Linked DNA regions of Astyanax mexicanus. The protein of the gene in region 2 binds, or shares a complex with, the protein of the main gene of each other region. Links are inferred from orthologs where the notes say so. Each region holds a gene or a part of one and is shown on either strand. Other genes may lie near its edges.

Evidence for each region.
Region 1: the proteins of pawr (region 2) and spsb1 are in contact, whole or in part, in a crystal structure (PDB 2JK9), measured with the Homo sapiens proteins. The link is inferred for Astyanax mexicanus from reciprocal best matches to the Homo sapiens genes PAWR and SPSB1. Residues at the interface, in NP_001341661.1 of Homo sapiens: Glu68, Leu69, Asn70, Asn71, Asn72, Leu73, Pro74; in NP_079382.2 of Homo sapiens: Arg77, His78, Pro79, Val80, Ala81, Gln82, Gly110, Thr111, Tyr129, Val216, Trp217, Gly218.

The regions. Positions count from the first base shown.
Region 1 is NC_064420.1:36,946,766-36,957,143, forward strand, and holds the start of spsb1 (SPRY domain-containing SOCS box protein 1), read right to left. Parts: upstream 3,957-10,378; 5' UTR 3,703-3,956; intron 1-3,702. UniProt on the Homo sapiens protein: Substrate recognition component of a SCF-like ECS (Elongin BC-CUL2/5-SOCS-box protein) E3 ubiquitin-protein ligase complex which mediates the ubiquitination and subsequent proteasomal degradation of target proteins.
Region 2 is NC_064409.1:25,120,427-25,130,277, reverse strand, and holds the start of pawr (PRKC apoptosis WT1 regulator protein), read right to left. Parts: upstream 4,738-9,851; 5' UTR 4,586-4,737; intron 1,346-4,585; 5' UTR 1,174-1,345; coding exon 688-1,173; intron 1-687. UniProt on the Homo sapiens protein: Pro-apoptotic protein capable of selectively inducing apoptosis in cancer cells, sensitizing the cells to diverse apoptotic stimuli and causing regression of tumors in animal models.

The DNA.
Region 1 (10,378 bases), on a different chromosome or scaffold from region 2:
ACACTGTGTGCTAGTTGTCACTCACATGGATCCAAATGGCTTTGAGCATTCAGGTTTCTGGGCATCAGTCAGGGCACAGATGGACAAATGAGATTAAATCACTGTTTGCTCTCTCTAATTACTAAAACAGAAGCAATTTTTACATCATGACCAACCTGCTAGAAGTGGATGATTAAATTGCTTACCAAACAGAAGAGACATTAGCCAATCAACAGTCAATGTAACCCTTTAAAAGGCACGAGAACTTCAAGAAGTGACTGTTCTCTAGCCACCCTATATCTCTTACCATTTGCCACTGTGCCTTTGTAATGAGATAATCACATGTTATTTACTTTACCAATTAGTGGTTTCATTGATTATAGCTGACGGGTGTACACATGTTTATTAACAAAACCTTCTCAAAGCTAGTTTCAAACAAGGTCCTGTGCATCACACAGTCAATTGTGAAGAAAGTGTCAGTAAACCCATCATGAACTGAGCATAACTGCAATACCAGTAAGTCCAAATCTGAGGCAAAGTTGCACACCCCCACAACCTCAACTAGCTAAGTGTCATGCAAATCTGCAGAGCTTTTGCATCAAGCAAATGCTGTCTGGCTATCTTGTTGTGTTGGCACTGGGTAGAGACACAAATGAAAGCAAATGACTATTGATTAGAATATATACTCAATTATAGTGTTTTTTTTTTTTTGCATCATATGCAGTACTTCCTCTTTCTCAATATTCTCCACTGATAAAATCTCCCTGTAACAGAACTCATATCAGCACCCACTGAACACAAACAGCTTAGTCAAGAATCTTACAGGCCCACATTGCTAAATGCACTAGTAATCGAGCCAACATGCTCATGTGGGGCTCACGATGATGGAACATTGTGTGTGTTCTGAGAGGGTGTGTACGCGTGTTGCTACTGGGACCCAACTGGCTTTCCAAATTGCTCATGACCATTACAGCCCAACTTAATCTCACAAAGGTACCATGTTAGGTGCTCAACCCAGTCATCGGTGTCAGGCATCCACATGGACAACAATGGACGAAATTTGGACAATTATCTGGTTCCCATTTGGGCTACCCTTACAGGGCCCAGTGGGCTCATGTTATCTGGGGGGAGCCAAAAAAAGCTGCACTGAACTGAACTGCAGCTTGGTGACCTAGCTAGCAGTGGATCTCTTTCCATGTGTGCCCCTAAACAACCCCACTTCAGTTCAGACAGAAACACTTTGCTGGTTCCTGCTCCTGAGGTTAGAACTTCAAACAGTGCATGAAAAGATTGGCCAGTACTTAAAATGAAAGAAGGGGCAAGATGTGCTGAACTACAGGAGGAAACCACAACCTGGCTGCTTTCCTAGAGCAGCTGTTATCAAGCCTGGCTAAGGTTAACATGATCAGAACACAAGCTTTCTTCAAAAAATATCCTGCAAACCCCCTTTTTTTCAGTGTGATACGTTAGTTTAAACAAACATCATACTGCTTGCTTACTAGCTAGCTAAAAAGCTAGGTTAACATGAAAATCACAGGGAAAAATGCCTAAACCTCACAAAAGGTTTTCCCCATGTTAAAAGGCACAATAAAGTCTTTAAGAGGTCAGTTTAAAGAATGTTTTTCAATATAAATGTGGAAAGTTCCTTACAGCCTTTTAACTGAGGAAGAAAAGACAGGACAGGGCATACATGTGCTTTTGTTCATCTTATTTTCTAACATGTAAGGGTACTGGGTTATGGCCAAGGATAAAACTAGCTCTTTTAAAGTAGAGTATAGAGTATTTGTATTTGTTTTTGCTTCTACTGCTCTGTTCCAATAATTTGAACTATTTAAAATGCTTTATTAAAACATTAGGTTCCTTATAACTAGTTCTGACCTGATTTCTAGAACAAAATATTGTGAACAATTAACTAGAACGACTGAATCTCAGTCTATATAACAAGCTAGTTGCTTGCTGTGAGACTACAAGGCAGTTTGTGAGCTGTAACATGCTTTTATTTCATAACTAGCCATAGAGTCTGCAGGAGGTCAGCAAAGAGTACATTAAAGTAAACTGAACTGTAGAAAAATAATAGTAGTTACAAAGCTGGAGTACATTTAATGGTAAACACATATTGCTACATATAGGTTAGCTAGCTAAACACACTGCACCAAGATACACCACAACAGGATATTAGCTAGCAAGCTAGTTAGCTTGTTTTAAGATTATGGCGGTAGTTAAATCCAGGCTTGGTTAATCAGCAGTCTTGTTTATCTAGCGGTTAACGCTAACAGTCTACATATGGGCTACTGTGAGACAAAACATCCCACAGTCTGACACTAAAAATGAAACTGAAATGGTGGCCCACGTTCACAGCAGGCTTTGTGTGTGTGTGTGAGAAGCAACGTTAGCTAGCGGTTAGCTAAGCTATCTATGGGGCACAGGCTGAGGAAACACTGAAGAAACAACAAACATTGCTAGCTACAACGTCTATGCTATAGAGAGTTTTAGCCTAGCTTAACCCATCTCGTTTTAAACAAACAGCGGTTACTATGGCTGTGAACTGCCCTTATGTTGCTAGGTTAACTAAAGCTAATCAGCCTAGATTAGCTAGCTAGCTAGCTGACTAGCTAGTGTTCAAACAGAGGCATATTATTCGGCACAGGCTGGGATACACTGTATAATCTCGTTAGATTAACAGTAACGTAAGAGTTACACTAGCTATGGTGTGTGTGTGTGTGTGTGTGTGTGTGTGTGTGTGTGTGTGTGTGTGTGTGTGTGTGTGTGTGTGTTTGCAACACTTGATGTTTTACTTTGATTTTACCAAATTGAAAACCTCTGGAATATAATCAAGAGGAAGAACAAAGTTTAACTGCTTGAGATTTTGGTCTGAAAGCTCTGCAACTTTTTTTGTTTTGTTATTTCAGCCATTTTTCATTTTCTGCAAATAAATTCTCTAAATGACAATATTTTATTTGGAATTTGGGAGAAATGTTGTCCGTAGTTTATAAAATAAAATAACAATGTTCATTTTACTCAAACATATACATATGAAGAGTAAAATCAGAGAAACTGATTCAGACACTGAAGTGGTCCCTTATTTATATAACGTTATATTTTTTTATTATAGCTAACATTTATTTATTTATTTATATATATGTAGTTAACATAGATTAATATGCGTAGGGCAGCCAACATATTGAAGCAAAGACACTGCGTTAACTAGCTAAACATAACCTTACAAACATATTACTCTAGCTTAACCTACATTAATTAAACAAGTAGTGGTTAATAAGGCCTCATGTTGCCAGGTTAAATGGCTAGTTAACTAAGCTAGGTAGCTAGCTAAGCTAACCGTTACCTTGCTAGTTAGCTAATTAACCAGCTGTTACCTGTAGCCAGCTAGTTAACCTAGCGAAAATACAATATCTAACGACACGTTTCCCCTGCTTTACGTAAGGATGCAACAGACTAATCCTTTATATCATTTAAAACACGACTTTTTAATCTAACATAGCTAACGCCAGCTAGTCTAATTTCCTCAATGTTTTGTCTATAGCAGGTTCAATGGGTTCCTGTGTGCCTGAAGCTAAATAACGCTAGCTAGCTTACCACACAGCGTCTGCCGTTAAAAACACACGGGTAGGTAACCTAGCTAGCTCGATATGCGAGACTACATGAGCACATCCACTCCAAACAAAAGCCCCAAAATGTGTGAAAAAGACAAAGCAACAGACTCACAGGCTTACCTGAACTTCACGTAGACTACACAGGCTAGCTGAACCAAGGCAAAGCGGCGGAGACAGGAGCTTCTTTCAAACGGTATTCCTGTGCAAAGCCATGACTCTCTCTCTCCGCCTCGTCCCTCTGCTTCTCTCTGCTCCTCTCCTTTTTTAGGTTGGGCTTGTGTTGGGTAATATGATGGCTGCTACAAACAGCCCTGCTGTCACGTGGTAAAATAGCTCCCAGCTGCTAGGAACCTCCCTCCCTCTCTCTTCTTCCCTCCTTCCCTCCTTCCCAGCTGCACTGGCTCTCAGTAGCCTGTTGCTCTAAACACTGCTCATCAGCTGATGTGTGAACATGAGGTTAGCATAGGAAGTGCCTACTGTGCTAGCTTACATTTACCCTGTTGTTTCTCTAGATAGCTTCGTCCTGGGTTATGTTTAAATGCTAATGTGCTTAGCTGTGTGTTTATGCATATTTGTGTGGAACAGGATCTGCTCTGGAATTATTTAGGAACAGTTTGTCCCTAAATCCCCCTGGTGTTTAATTTTATGCGCTTGTTTGGTGAGTGGTGACAGCACCTCTGCTGCTTTGCTGTTTCCCACACTCACCCTTTCTCATTTCAAGTTTAGTATAGATATGTATACACCAAATGTCTCCTGTTTGAATCTTCAGTGAAGCAGACATGTATAAAGTACTAGAGACCCAGACTTGAGTAAAAGTACATTTGCTAAATCAATAAAGTGACTTGAATAGAAGGTGAAGTGTTCTTTAAGCACCACACCTAAGTACTGAAGTACTCAACATTTTTTGTGCTAAAGTATTGTGAGCAGTTAAAAAATAAAAATTATACTATTATATTATATATTATTATAGAAGGGAAAGTTTTCAGAGTGAAAGGCAGAATGGGAGCAGCATGGTCTTCTTATCACCTTGATCGCTTGATTCACTCAGTGATGAGGAGCTTCATCAAACTCGGTGACACTGCAGATCATCTAGTAATAATTTCAATGGTAACCTTATCGAAAATATTACAGAAATGGATCATTTGTTTGGTTCAAAATCGGTCCCAATCACCTTCACTTTACCCTACAAATATTAAGTCTATATATAAAGCTAGTTGATCAACAATCAAACAATGTAATGCATTATATGCCAATAGTAAATAAATATATATATATATTAAATATATAAATTTATTAAATATTAATATTAATATTATATATTATATTATATATTAAATATTAATATTATATAATATTAAATATAAATATATATTTCCTACTATATCAATAATATAAAGATTCAATTTCAGAGAATGTGCATGTCATTATGAAGCAATGTTAAGCATTTTGTACTGTCTTCAGGAGGGGATGTTTGCTGTCAGCCAAGAACAGAAAGCTGAAGCTTCAGTGGGCACAGAATCACCAAAACTGAAATGTAGAAGACAGGAAAAATGTAGCATGGTCTGAGAAATCTAAAGTTCTGATAGCAGGATCAGAATTAGATGGCTTCACTTGAGCCCCTTTAATTAATGTCGCCATGCCATGTTCACACTGGCCATAGTTCAGCCTCACCTACAATAAACACTAATACAACTTATACTGCTGTTGGCATTTCCAAGCCATGTTACGATCAAATTATGAACCATTCCAATCCAATGATATTTGACATGTTAGGGTAATTTGTCTACTTTAATACGTTCACTTGAAGCAGACAGAAGGCCTGTATCCTGTTTAGCTCCAGGTTTATCAGAACACTTCCACTTCTGTGATGACTGCCTAACTGCCTGCTGAGTTTCTGACCACCTGTCTAGATGTACTCTCTGTGGGTTGACTCACTGAACCTCCTTCGTGTAGACCGAGTGGCTGCTTTCCATATGATTCAACACACAGCCGGGCTTATTAACAACCTCAGCCGTCTGGAGACAAGCTGAACTCATCCGCAACCCTTTCACAATTACACACACCTCTCTGGCCAAACCTCCCGGTTACAAGTGTCTCATTTTGTATAGAGAAAAAAACAGAACGCCTCGATTTGGCAGAGCTAAGTGTGAAACACTGGATGAAACAATAAGCTGTGATGAGGAGGACTGAGGTCTGAATAAGCAGTAGCTTACTGCAATAATGCTGAGCAGTGTTGAGAGCAAGCGGCATCAGGGGAGCTGTGTGTTGTAAAAAGGCTTTACTGTCCCCTTGTGTTCGCTCTGGCCGTACACACCTCCTCTGACTTGAAATGATCCAATCTGCACGGTTGCTCAACTCATTTGAAACAATAACATGCCCATGTTTGAACAAGCTTCGTTCCCATATTTCATTCAGTGCGGTTTATTTGTTGGGGGCACTTGCTTGGATACTCCTTTTCATATCCAAATAATGATGTTCCACTTTTATAACGTTCTGCTGTGGCACACAAGCTTGGGTTGCACAACTTTTATAGAATCTTACAGAGTTTTACAGAATTGGGCCAAGAACAGCTTAGATCTCTTGCATGAAAACAAGAAAACACATTCTTTACAACCTTCTCCTGCAGCCCCGGAGCTCTGAAGACACGGTACCCTTGATCAACCATAAAGATGTCATACGCAATCAGCCGTACAACCTTACCACAACCCAGCTGCCCTTCTCGTTTCAGGAAGCCGTCTGGAGCCAGCTGTGAGAACCAGCTCAAGTGGACTGCTACAAGAACCAGATGAGTTTTGCTTGGAGGAGCAACTATCAAGCTTTGCTGTTACCTTGTGTGCTTTTTTTGTAAGTAATACGTCTAAAAGGACACCAAACATTACCAGAACATCATGTTACACCAAGACCAGCAGAAGGGCAGCACATCAAAGGCATACTGAACAGCTTGTAATGACACAGAACTTTGTGTACTTGGAATCTGTGCAGAAAGGGCAATTACAATGGGTCTCATAGCATGGGAATGAGTGATGGTTTGTGGCTGCTGGACCACCAGTTTTATTGTTACCCTCAGCGTGCTACTTTTGCAACTTCCCGCCATTGACTCTGAGTAGTCTTCTTAAACACTTGAAGGCCATTTATCATGGAAAATCTAATATAAAATATAAATAGTAGTATGTAAACATTTAATTAGATAAAATAACAAATTGTATCATTTACTTTACAGTCTATTTGAGATGTGTGTAGGATGTAAGTGGAGAAAATATCTATTTTTAATTTTTCCATTTTTGTGTAGTCAATTTAATTTATCTCCACCATTATTGAGCATGATATAGGACACCAAATAAGAAAAGATATAAGTTACATTAAATGATCAGCTATGTCTAGGTGTTCTCTTTTTTACATTGTCTCAACATGTCATGCTGAACAAGTTTTTTTTTACTTTTTCCGTAAAGTTACCATTTTGCAGATACAGGTCTTTTGTCTGAGAGCAACAATATTATGTAGTGATATTGATTCCAGAATTTGTCTTTGGGATGAATAAAGTATCTTTCCATCCATCCATCCATCCATCCATCCATCAATCCATCAATCCATCAATCCATCCATCCGAACAGCAAGTTCTTGAAGTGAAAACTCAATATTTGGTATATACTAAAAAGTTGAATACATGCACAGTGAAGAAAGACAAAATTTTAAGAGTAGGTTAATTTAACAGTTGGAGATAAAATCCACAAAAATCACATTGCAGAAATTATGTAAATTCATTTGCATTTTGCAGAGAGAAATGGGTATTTGATCTCCTGCCAACCATTAAGAGTTCTGTCTCCTACAGACCAGTTAGACGCTGCTAATCAACTTGATACTACCTGCATTAAAGACACCTGTCTTAAGTTGTCATCTGTATAAAAGACTCCTGTTCAAAGACTCATTTGATCAGTCAAACTCCAACCTCTATAACATGGGCAAGGCCAAAGAGCTTTCTAAGGCCGTCTTTGTCAGTGGGCAAACAGACAAAATCAGCAAGGGATCAAATAAGTATTTTATTCACTGTAGATTTTTTTTCTTTTATTTTAGGAGGCAGGCAGTGTGTGCGCCACACTGCTCCAGGGGTCTGGGGATGTGGGTTCAATTCTTACTCTGGTCTCTCTCTGTGAGGATTTTGGTGTTTTCTTAATGTGTCCACTTTTGGAAATTCCTTCAGGTACATTGTGTTCTTCCCACCTCCCAAAGACAAAGATGGTGGATGAATTGCCTGTGCTAAATTGCCCCTAGGTGTGAGTAAAATGTGTGTGTGGAACCCAGCAATTGACTGGTGCCATGTCCAGGGAGTATTCTAACCCCACATGGTTAGGAAAATTGATGTATGAATTATTTTTATAATTATTCTCAATTATTAAATGCATAATTAAGGCCAATACACTTTTGAAACATGTTTTCATACAATCGCAAAACCTTATCCAATTTAGTTTTCCTTGATTAAAGCCTTTTTAAACTATGCATTAATTAGCACTTATTAGAACACTGTGGATAAGGCCGAGCACTAGTGAATAAACAAGAACATTCATTTTGAAGCAATTAAAGGTCATGTTTGCATAGAGGGCCTCATTATTTTTTAAAGCCCATAAGATTCTCCTATTTGTGCCAGTCTTTAGAACAGGCAAGTACCTGTAGCCTTAAAGCAGCAGAGGAACTCGCTCCAGCTCCACGGCCCTTCTGTTGGGTCAACTGTGGCTTTGGACGCCTCCATCGCCACCACACAACAAGCAGAGACCTCCAGCAGCTGCCAGCTCAGCTCGAGGTGACTCATTCACCATGTTTCCACATTGGAGCCTCCAGAGAGCTCCACACAAGCCCCTCTTTCTTTTCACAAATGGATTTGGAGCTGGAGGTATGCGAGTGTGAATTGTGCCATGCCAAAAGGAAATTTAACATGAGGTAATCTCATTGTCACCCCCAAACATTTGCACTAATCCACTCTCTCTTGTTATTGAGTCACAGAGTGTGTGCACTGTACGCGGTGGAGAAATATTGCATTGACAGTAAATCCCCTCAACCAGATATTTTATCAGCTTTAAAAGCCTCACAGGGGGCTGATTTACATGTCTACAGTGCAGACCGCAGTTATTTTCTACAGACCCATGCCTGTCAAAACGTGGAGATACACTCGTATATCAGGTTTCGCTACATAAAAAAAATGAGTGGACATAACAGCAGTATTATATTTTGTGTAAATCATTTTGTTTTTCATATTTTATGTCTGATCCACTCTGACAACCACTCTAGCAAAGCTCTAGCTGAAAGTAAAACTGAGGGATTGAAACAGTATAGGGTGCAACTTTTCTTAACAGATCACTTTCTTATGCAAAAGATACTCACGCTAGAGGGGCCAACTATATATAATAAAGCACAGGATTAGTTGTGTAGTTTCAGCTCTTGGCAGTGTGTGGATGGACTGCAGGAAAAGCACTTTACTGCCTCCTTGTGTCTACCACTGCACTCACAAGCAGCAATAGCCTTAAGATTGCTCTTATACTCTCATAAGGAATGAATATGAATGAGATCAGATGTGATTTGCTTGGCAGTTAGTTGATAAAGGGGAGAGTAACGCACAGCTTAATGTGGGGTGAAAGGTAGCATACTTTAAATATGTGCTGACATGAATTAAACCATGCTCTAGGTCATATTATTGCTATACCCATATGGCCATATCATCTGCTAATGTAGGATATAGTATGATGCATATATCTTGAGAATCACCCTGAAGACGTACACATTTTTACTGTAAGCATTTTTTAATTAAATAGGTTACTCTGCCATTTGCTACAAAGATGTGTGCAATCATATAAACTCAGGACATCGTTTGTTTTTTCTATTGAACTGGATGATCAGGGTGCAGCATAGTGAACGGATTGTAACCATTTGTGCTCAGTTATTCCCAGCTCAGGCAGGCTACGCAGTGATGGCTATTATTAATTTTATGTGTTATATCATAGTCGTCCTTATTTGTCCATTGTCCTTTACAGGGTGAGGATGAAAGGTCGAGTGTGCTTGAAGGTAATGAGTCTCACTTTACACTGCTGGTGGTGGTGGAGGAGGAGGAGGGCCGTGAATTAAATTACCCAACACTCAGCTGTCTGCGAGTGAATTTCACATTTTCCTGTGCAGCACTAGCACAATATGCTGAGGGTGCTGATATCTGCAGGAGAGGCATGCAGACGCTGCTGCTGCTGCCTTGAGCAGGCCAGCTTACTCCTCCTCTTTTTCCGCCAGGCTTTTAAAAAAAATCCCTGCATCTCGGGGTAATCAATACCCTGTCCCATCAGGCAGCCCCCCGGAGCTCTCTTCTCCTATAGGAGGAGCACAGGAGCCTGACCGTTCGACTGAAGGGCCGGGGGAAGCTCCCCCCTCCACGTCAAGGTGAGTGAGTGCATGATGCGTCAGGAAGTGCAGTCATTTCTCAATGTGGGCTTTGCTATTGGATTCTCCATGGAGAAGAGAAATCCTGGCACTAAGCAGGTGGAAGAAAATAAAGGCAAACGATTAGCTCATAAATATCTGGCAGCCACAATGAAAATCCTATAATTCAAGAAAAATATGCTAATTATATAATATTGTAACACACCCTACAGACAAAAGCATTGAGTCACTTGGGCTCATTTCTATTTTAAAAGTACTAAAAGTATTTTAAAAAAGAGCTGCTTATCCTTTTTTATAGTTGGAGTAACTATCTCTACTACCCAGCAAGGACATTCTGCTAGTTTTTGGAGCTTTGCTGTAAGGATTTGATGGCA
Region 2 (9,851 bases):
AACAATGAAAATAATAAAATAATGGATTTCTATATTTACATACAGACAAGCACGGCTTTAAACAGGTCCCAAGCAAGTTAAAGAACACAGCACTGATTTGTGGGATAGGCTGGTGAGGGCTCCTGCATTGAATGTGGATGTGATTTCTGTCAGTCGCTGTTCACATGGATAATTCTAGCCAGACGCCGCCGGTCACCATTATTATTTCCCCCACTGCACTGTCTAGTGTGGGTAGTAATATAAGCCTTCTATGGAGTATTCCTGGCACACACTGTAAGAGATGTTTTGCAAAGTTCTGCACAATTGTACATTCTTTGGCCACAGGGATCGCAAAGTGAGTGCAGAGGAATGGGACATTGTATTTCTGAAGTAGGTATTTAACATTTCTCCATCCATGTCCCTTACTGTGGCCCAGAACTTTACAAACTCCTTTAACTTAGTCCAAAAGCTTCCCAAACCCCCCTGTGTGCAGCCCAGCAGTTCATAAATCATACAATATTGCCCAGACCCAGCAAAATCTCTGTTACTGTTGCCCAGAACTACAATCCCATTATTTTAGCTTAGGACTTTGTAAGCTTCCGTTTGTGTGGCCCAGAACTTTACAAAGCCATTTACACAAATAACTGAAACCAGACACACTCAAGGCCAAGAGTTTCAGGCCAATAACATAAAGCAGGTTAAACTTACCTCATTTGACGGTATGCTGACGACCCCGGTTGACCTCCTCTTTTCCCGCAGCTTCCGTTTCTCTATTTGACCTTTTCCCTTTCTGGCACTGGGTCCAGAGCTTTTCTTCTCCTTGCCTTTCCCGTGCGGGGGGCTCTCCTTATCGCTGTCCGGGCAGGCGGTGGCAGCAGGGGGGCTGGGCTCCTTTTTAATAGGCGTCTCGGCTGGCCTGGAGTTGGGATCATCCTCGGGCCTCCTCAGAGCAGAAGAGGAGGAAGACCGAACAACCGGATAGGCCACGCAGTTCACGGCCGCAGAGTTTCCGTTGTTGCTCGGTTCTGGGGGTTTGGTGCCGGTGCTGCCCGTGACCTGCAGGCCGGAAGGTGGGCACTGCCCGGTCGCCGCGGCAATGTCCCCCAGCATCTTGGCCCTCATCTTCTCTCGCTTAGCCTTCCACTCCTCCAAGAAATCCGTGGCAGCATTGGCTTTGAACCCGCCGGATGCCATGCTCGTCCCTCTTTCGGACCGGTTCTTTTTGCTGGCTTTTCCTGGCTCAGAAGGTTTCGCTTCTGCTTTGTTTTCAGCTCCGAAAAAAATTAAGCAGGACGGACTTCACCTTCCTCTCTGGATCAGGAACGCCACATTCCTCCACACAGTAACAGGAGCAGAAAAGGGAAGCCTGGAAACACACACATGCACACACATACATACACACAAACACACAGTCTGCTGTCACTGATTACACACACAGCAGCCAACTGGAGATAAACACACTGTGATGGTCACATGATCACAGTAAACACACATACAGTGGTGGGAAAAAGTATTTGCCCCCTTTCAGACTTCTTTTGTTTTGGCATTTTTTGTCAACCCTTCCACCCCATAAAATAACTGTGATTAATCACACTTTTTGGAAAGCTGTCTTCAATTTTACAAACCACAACCAGGCCTGGTTACTGCCAGATCTATACAATCATGAAATCACTTAAATAGAACCTGTTTGAAAAAATGAAGCAAACAAAAGATATCAAAAAGCAATATATTATGACCCAATCTGAAGAAATTCAAAAACAGATCAGAAAACAAAGTCATTGTTCATCTATCAGTCTGGAAAAGGTTACACAATCATTTCTAAGGCTTTGGGACTCCAGCGAACCACAGTGAGAGCTATTATTCACAAAAATTAAGAAAACATAAAACACAGGTGAACCTTCCCAGGGGGGACCAGCTGACCAAAATTATTATAAAAAGGGCATGGACAACTCATCCAGGAGGTTACAAAAGAACCCAGAACAACAGTTAAAGAACTGCAGGTCTTACTTGCCTCCGTTAAGGTCAGTGTTAATGATTCATTAATAATAAGGAAACTGGGAGAGTTCCAGGGCAAAAAACATTGCTGACCAAAAAAACAAAATGGCCCATTTCATATAAAACATTTTGATGATCCCCAGGATTTTGGGTAAATATTATTTGGACTGACGTGGAACTTTTTGGAAGGTGTGTGTCCTGTTACATCTCGCGTAAAAACTAACACATAATTTCAGAAAATGAACATCATGCTTAATGTAAAACATGGTGGTGTTAGTGTGATGGTCTGGGTTGCTTTTCTGCTTCAGGTCCTGGACAACTTGCTGTAATAGATGTAACCTGGAATTCTGCTGTTTACCAGAAAATCCTAAAAGATGATGTCTGGGCATCATTTCATGACCTCAAGCTTAGGCGTATTTGGGTTCTGCAGCAGGACAATTAACAAGTCCACCTCTGAATTGCTTAAATTACAGTTTTGGAATGGCCTAGTCAAAGCTTGATTGAGATGCTATGGATGACCTTAAACAGGCTGTTTATGCTCGAAAATTCTTCAATGTGGCTGAAATAAAACAATTCTGCAAACAAAAGTTGAACAAAATTCCAAACACCAAAAAGAGAAGTGAAAGATTCATAGCCAGTAATCGGTAAAGCTTGATTGCAGTTGTTGCCGCCAAGGGTGGCCCAACCATGTTATTAGAAGAAATTAGGTTTAGGGAGCAAACACTTTTTCACACAGGGCTAGATTGGTTTGGACAGTTTTCCTTTAATAAATGACATTATTATTTTAAAAGTGCTTTTTATACTTACTCAGGTTAACTTTGTGTGATATAATGTTTGTTTGATAATCAGAAAAATATCAGTATGACAAAAAAGCAAAAACAAAATAAATACTGTATGCACTATAATGCCAAAAGTATACTCTCACCCATCCAAATCATTGAACACAGGTTCCAATCACAATCACAGGTGTATAAAGGCATGTAGACTGCTTCTACAAACATTAGTGAAAAAATCGGTCTCTCTCAGGAGCTCAGTTAATTCCAGTGTGGTAATGTGATAGAATGCAGCACCTGTGTCCAATTGTGAAATTTCTTCATTACTAAATATTCCACAGCCAACTGTGATATTATAACAAAATAGAAGCAACTGGAAACAAATTGAACAGAATGGGGTCAGCGGATGCTGAAGAACACAGTGCACAAAGGAACCAATCAGTACAGACCTCTCAACTTCATGTGGCCTTAGTAGAGAGCTGAGCAGCAGTATATGGCTGAGCATCTCCAAGCCTTACAGCACCAAACGCAATTCAATCGAGTGGATACTTTTGGCAATATAGTGTATATATAATACACACGCAAACACACACATACACACTTAACTATCGGTAAACACTGTAGATGGCACAGATCTGATACCCAGTCTGACACAGATCAGATATTAGAGGATAATTCTGGAATCAGATATCAGATCACGCAAAACTGGCCAATATGCAATAAGCAGGTAAAAAGTAGATTTAAAAAACTGCTATCAAACACTCCATATTAAACTAGACTAATTCTAAAATTCCAATATCAGACTGATATGTAACTTAATTACAGATATTGGGCCAGAATTGAATTATACGCTAATTTCAATATCAGATCAGAAAACCACTTGCGGATCAGTAACAGATGATACCCAAATTCCAATATAAATTCAAAGACTGAAAATCAACCGATAATCACGTCCCAATATGGGATAAATGCGAACCAATATTGGATCAGTATTCATACAGTCTAATATCAGACAGGTATTAGACAATACTTATATATCACATCATGTTGTGTCTCTCGATTCTGAAATACTAATATCTGTTTGTATCAGGTGATGCTTAAATACCAGTCTTGTATCATTTCAGATTCCAATATCAGTTGATACTCTAATATCGGATCAATTTTAGTCAATTTTCAAATTCCAGGCATTACCTGATGCTTAAATTTCAATTAAGCAACTAATACCAAATGTTTTCTATTGTGCCATGCATGCTTAAAATGAAAACACACACACAGGCACACGCATACACACACACACACAACACAGGTCCACATTCCAAAACTCTCAAACACACACACTTGTTGGCATTAAACTCAAACAAACATCACACACACACACACACACACACACACACACACACACACACACACACACACACACTCTGTCTCTATCTATCTCTATCTCTCTCTTTCACAGAAGTTAAAACATATCTTCAGCCACTAAACACACATACTTGCTGTCTTAAAACTTCACATTCTCTTACCTACCAACACACACACATTCTCTCACTAACCTGTTGGTTGTCACTAAAGGTTTACAAAACACACACACACACACACACACACACACACACACACACACACACACACACACACACACACACACACAGCTCCACAGTCAGCGGTCCCCCCTCTCGCTGAGTCCGGGCTGAGGGCGCTGTGCGGGGGCTGTGGGGCAGGCTGTGCCCAGGTGGAGCTCCAGGATCGGTGGAGAGACTGCAGCGCTCCGTCCCACAGTCTGCCACGGGAAACACTGCCCCCAACCCGTCTAAACCACGAGACAAGCCCCGGTAACTCACCTGCTCTCCGTCCCGCAGACACACACACGGTAAACCAGTCCGGTCTCTCACTTTCCCCAAGTAAGTCTCTCTCGCTCTCTCTCTCTCTCTCTCGAGCGCGCGCGCGTTCCCGGTCACTTTACGGAAACCCACGAGCGCACACGAAAAGTTCGATCAAAGCTTTACACCACACCCGTACTCCGACAGGCCACGCCCTCCTCCGCTACGATTGGCTGTTTTGTGCTTAACGTTGAAAAAATGATCTTGACATAAATCTTATGGCCAAAAGTATTGAGACAGCTGTTTATCCACTGTTTCTACTAAAATCAAGAGTAATAAAAAATAGTTTATTCTCCTTTTTAGAGTACATTTTATATATTGTATAAATATATATATATATATAGATTTATACTGTCTCTACTGTTCAGAGAATACTTCCTACTAGATTCTGGACTCATTGCTCTGAGGATTTGATTATATATATTTTAGTTATATTAGTTTATTTGCTCCAGACAGTCCTTTTCTATTGGCAGCAATGTACAGGGTCTAGGCAACCTGTGCTGTGTGCATTTGCACACCTCTTTTAGCATTGAGTGGTAAGTAGCTAAATGTAGTGTTCATTAGAAGGGTGTCAGCAAATATTTGAACATACAGCTCTTGAAAAAAAAAGGACCACTTTTAAAATATTAGTTTCTATGATTTAACCAGACATCTGGACTATAATCAAGAGGAAGATGGATGATCACATTGAAGACATAAAACCAAGCTGAATTGCTTGAATCCAAAAGCAGTGTGTAAGACTGGTGTAGATAAACATGTCAAGAGGCATTAAAACTGTGATTAAAAACCAGGGTTAATTTACCAAATATTGATTTTTTTTTATGAATATGAACATGTTTTCTTTGCATTATTTGAGGTCTAAAAGCTCTGCATCTTTTTTGTTATTGCAGCCATTTCTTATTTTCTGCCAATAAATGCTCTAAATGACAATATTTTTATTTGGAATGGATATATTTTTTTTGGTGGTTGCAATGGTTTTGCTAAGTGTTTGCTTGATGTTTGGTAAGATATTGCCTTGGTATAAAAATTGGTTGCTAAAGTATTAGTAAGGTGTATAGTAAGGTGTTGCTAAGGTGTTGCTGGGCAGTTGCTAAGGTGTGCTATGGTATAGGTGTTGCTAGGTGTTTGTTTAGGTGTTGCTATGTTTTATGCTAGCAGAATACTTATCTGTGTGATTGTAATGATGATACGGTTGAACATGTAGGTATACAGGTTCCGAATGACATCCTGCACCTTTACCCACAGATGATGCAGCTGGACCAGTAGATCCTGCCCTATACTTGTAGGTTGCTAAAGCTGCCATGCCAGCTGCTCCCGTAAATGCTAGATTGGTGCTCTCATAAATTCAGGTCCGGACAGGACAAGGTGTAGCATATTTTGTGAAGACATTTCTGGGAAACCCTTGCTGTGTGTGGGTGAGCATTATCCTGCTGAAAAAGGGCAATTTAAAAGCCATGAGAGTAAGCAACATGTGTGTCTGCAGGATGTCCTGCATTTAGCTGAGCTGTAAGTGTTCCTCGTTTCACTACTAGGGGTGACTAACTGTTGCATGTGATGCTCCCCAGATTATTACACCAGCAGTTGGGGCAGTGTGTCGCTCTTTAGCAATGGCAGGATTGAAGCGCTTACCATGTTGTAGAGGCATGTCTAGCAGTCAACAAACTCTCACCAAGAGGTAACTACCCAAAGGTAGCTGCTAGGAGCCTTCTTATAGGGTAGCAAGGGAAAACATTTTATGCCCTCTTGTGGTAAAATCCAGCATCTAATTAGTCCTCACCTGTAATCATTTACATATCTGTCTGAGACAGAACTGCATGCCAGGTTTGCAGCATATTCAACATTAATACTTTGTCCAGTTACTTTCCTTCAGCACTGCATATATTACAGTGTGGGGGTTGTAATGGCATCTGTGTGAAGAGATGCAATGTGAGGTGTTTTGCAGTGTTAATAAATGTTGAACGTTCTTGTCACTGCTCCTGGAGGCCTGTGAAATGGTGTGATGTTATTGGTGCAGGAAAGTGTACACTGGTAAGACAACTGAAGCTTGGGCTGGATTGGGTAATCAGTGCTAGCAGCGTTAGCTGAATGCAAGCTGTTTTCATAGTCTATAATAATGCTGCAATTTTCATTACCAGTGAGTGTTGTCCTGGCCTCAGGCATCTTCAGCACATGAAAGAGCAGGCCTAACGAGTGTTAACCTGCTGGAAACGGCTCTTCCACTCTGGCCCCGCCTCACACGCTTTATCAGACTGGTTCTTTAAGGGCTTGGCCTGCCCAGAAATGCCTGAAGAGACCATGAGAGTGTCAGTGTGGCCGTTTGTTCCTTGGGGTAGATTTACAAAGACATATGAACCCATTGAACAGCCAATAGCCTGTTTAAAAGATGTTCATCCAATATTCCTCATCAGAGAAGTGGACGGTGCTTCTGGACATGATGAAGATAAGGCTTCGACTTCTTTCTGCACAGTAAAATTATAAAAGGCATTAGTCGGAGTTTTGGTGCTAAAATGCAGAAATCAATGTGAAGTATATTAATACTAATTAATTAAATGAAGTTGGGCAAATAAAATATGAAATATTTTGGGTTTATACTCTTTGCAATCAAATGTAAGAAACTGTAAGAAACTGTAGACTGAAGGTGAAGGTGTAAAAATGAAATTTTAGGGTTGTTAGCATTCTCTTTGTAAGGGCTAACACATAAAGCAGTATAGGGGTTGTTGTAAAGAGTGTGCTCTATAAATAGCCTGTGTTCTAAAGAGTGAGGTCATGATTCTGCATGTTTAGCATTTTTCTGCCCGGTTTCAGAAAGGCTGAGGAGAACAGCTCTCCAGAGCCTGGGCTTTCAGTCCAGCCCGGCCCGGCTCGCCTTTCAGCTGCAGCCCACTTAGCATTCCAACAATCGGCTTTCTAAAGGAGCAGATAAGTGTGTAGTCCCGCCCTCGCCGGGCACTAAACCCACTGCCCTGCTGGATCACCCTGGAGACAGCAGCCGACGGGTAAAGCTGCCCAACAGGTTTTCCCCTTTCTCACACCGCCCTCACTCCTCACAATCACCATTTACCTTATAAACACAGTTCTGGAGAGGATCCTGAAACAGAATCTGAAGCTGAATTAATAGATTCATACCTTTCTAAAAAAATAATTCAGTTTCAAATAATCAGTTAGTTTTCTACACACTTTAAAAGTCGTTTGTATGTCAGCGTTGGCTTTCTCAGAGTAGCCAATTCACTTAAAAAAATACACATTATTTTTAAAAGATGTTTTATACATCTGGAATTTAAAAACATTTGACTCTAGAATAGACCTATTCTATTGAAGTACTTCTCTAAAGGGTCAAGAAAAGCTTTGGATCTGCATCTGTGTTAGCAATGAGCACAAATAAACATTACTTAAAAAACGTATTAGAATGGATTCACTAGAAAGAGAAGGTGTGTCCACAACAAACATTTGGACATTTAGTGTATTTGAGCCTCTAAGGTTTCATTCACACAGCAGGTCATATAGTGGCCAAAATCACCTTATTTTAGTCTGTACTGGGGTGTCGATCAATAAAAATCAGATTAATCACAACAATATTCTGATTATCTGCAATTAAACGCACTTGTTCTTCTTAAGACAAAAAATATGTAAAATGCAATTATATTTATATTAGTTGTGTCAAATAAAATGCTAGTAAATGTAACTTGTATGGGTACACAATTTCTTTTTAATTTGACCTATAGCTTACACTGGTCTGCGCTGTGTAATGTGCAGATGCTACATAACAGTGCTTCATGTGAAGTTTCAGTTTCCTTCTAGCCAGAATCTAAGAAGCTATGGTTTGCCTCCTTTTTTTTTTAAAGCTTTTTAGTTTCCTTTTATGCTGCGGCAATGCCAAATTACAAGAGACACCCGTACAGATATTTATGAGGTCTAGTACCTCACAATCCTACCACTGAACCCCTCCCTCACTGTTGTCCTCCATTTTCCTATCTACTACAGAAATTTATTTTTTATATGCTTGATCAAAAAGTTGCATGAGTTCTAATCTGGTTGATCAGACTTGAGTTGCATTGCAACAGATAATATATGTGTCAGATATGTCCTCATTTCGCAGAAAATGCAGCAGAAATAAAGTCGAGGTGGAGCCAGTGGGGTGTTTTGTCCATCAATCATCTAATGCCTGAGCTGCCCTCTAGTGGAAGCCTCCACTAACACATGTTGCACACAGGGAAGTATGTGAACCGTTACATTTACAATGCAAACGATGCACAAACCTATGGCCAAACAGCAAGTACACACCAGACTTCCCAAGTTTCCTGAAAGTTGCGGGAGCATATCAATAATGGCTTCCCGATGCCCGCAAGTCAGAAAAAATCTCGAGAACTAGATCTAGAACTAGTGGCCCAAGTGTGAACACAAACGCGCACACAGCGCGACACAGACTTTTTTCCATAATCGCATGAGTGAAAGAGAGGGAAAGGGAGAAAGGAGCTCCCCTTGTGTGCATATTTATGAACCGCATGCAAAACAGAGAGGGTTCTGATTGGCCTGTTCTCTGCAAAGAGTCTGTGAGTCAATCAGTTTTTACTGTGGGCAGGCTGTGTTTTTTTCCCCTCCTGGATGGGAGGGGCATCATGACTCTATCAAAACTTATTTCACCTCTGACCACTCTAAAGTATATCCATGTCTAGTTACAGTCTTGCCCACTGTACAGTCTGTGTTCAGTAGCTCCTCCATTTTCACTTGCTGATGTGTTTACATGGATCTCCGTGGAAACGAAAAAAGGGGTTTTCAGCCTGTAACTTTCTCAGTGTACGTCTGAGAAAAACACACACATGTACATTCCGGACGGCAATAAAAAGACCCCTCATAAAAGAGAAAATTACCCCAGGACCCCCTGAGAAACGAATCCCTTCTGAATAAGGCTTGAGAGGCATAAAACTGGGTACATGTTATTTTTTTGTTGTTGTTAAACGTATTATTCACAGATTATCCAATTTGCACACCTCAGCTAGTTTATTATTAATCACATACTCAGGGCAAAAGGGCAACTCTACAACTCTGCACATCATCTGAGACCAATTATTAACAGCACTGAACACTGAACTGAGATGTCACATAGAGTTTCAGTGACACTGACAGCAGTATTTACAGTAAATCAATCACAAAGTGTTACCTCAGGGGACAGCTGCACACACCTGTATAAGTTGTGAGGTGTTATTCTGTGTGAGAGAGGTTAAACACT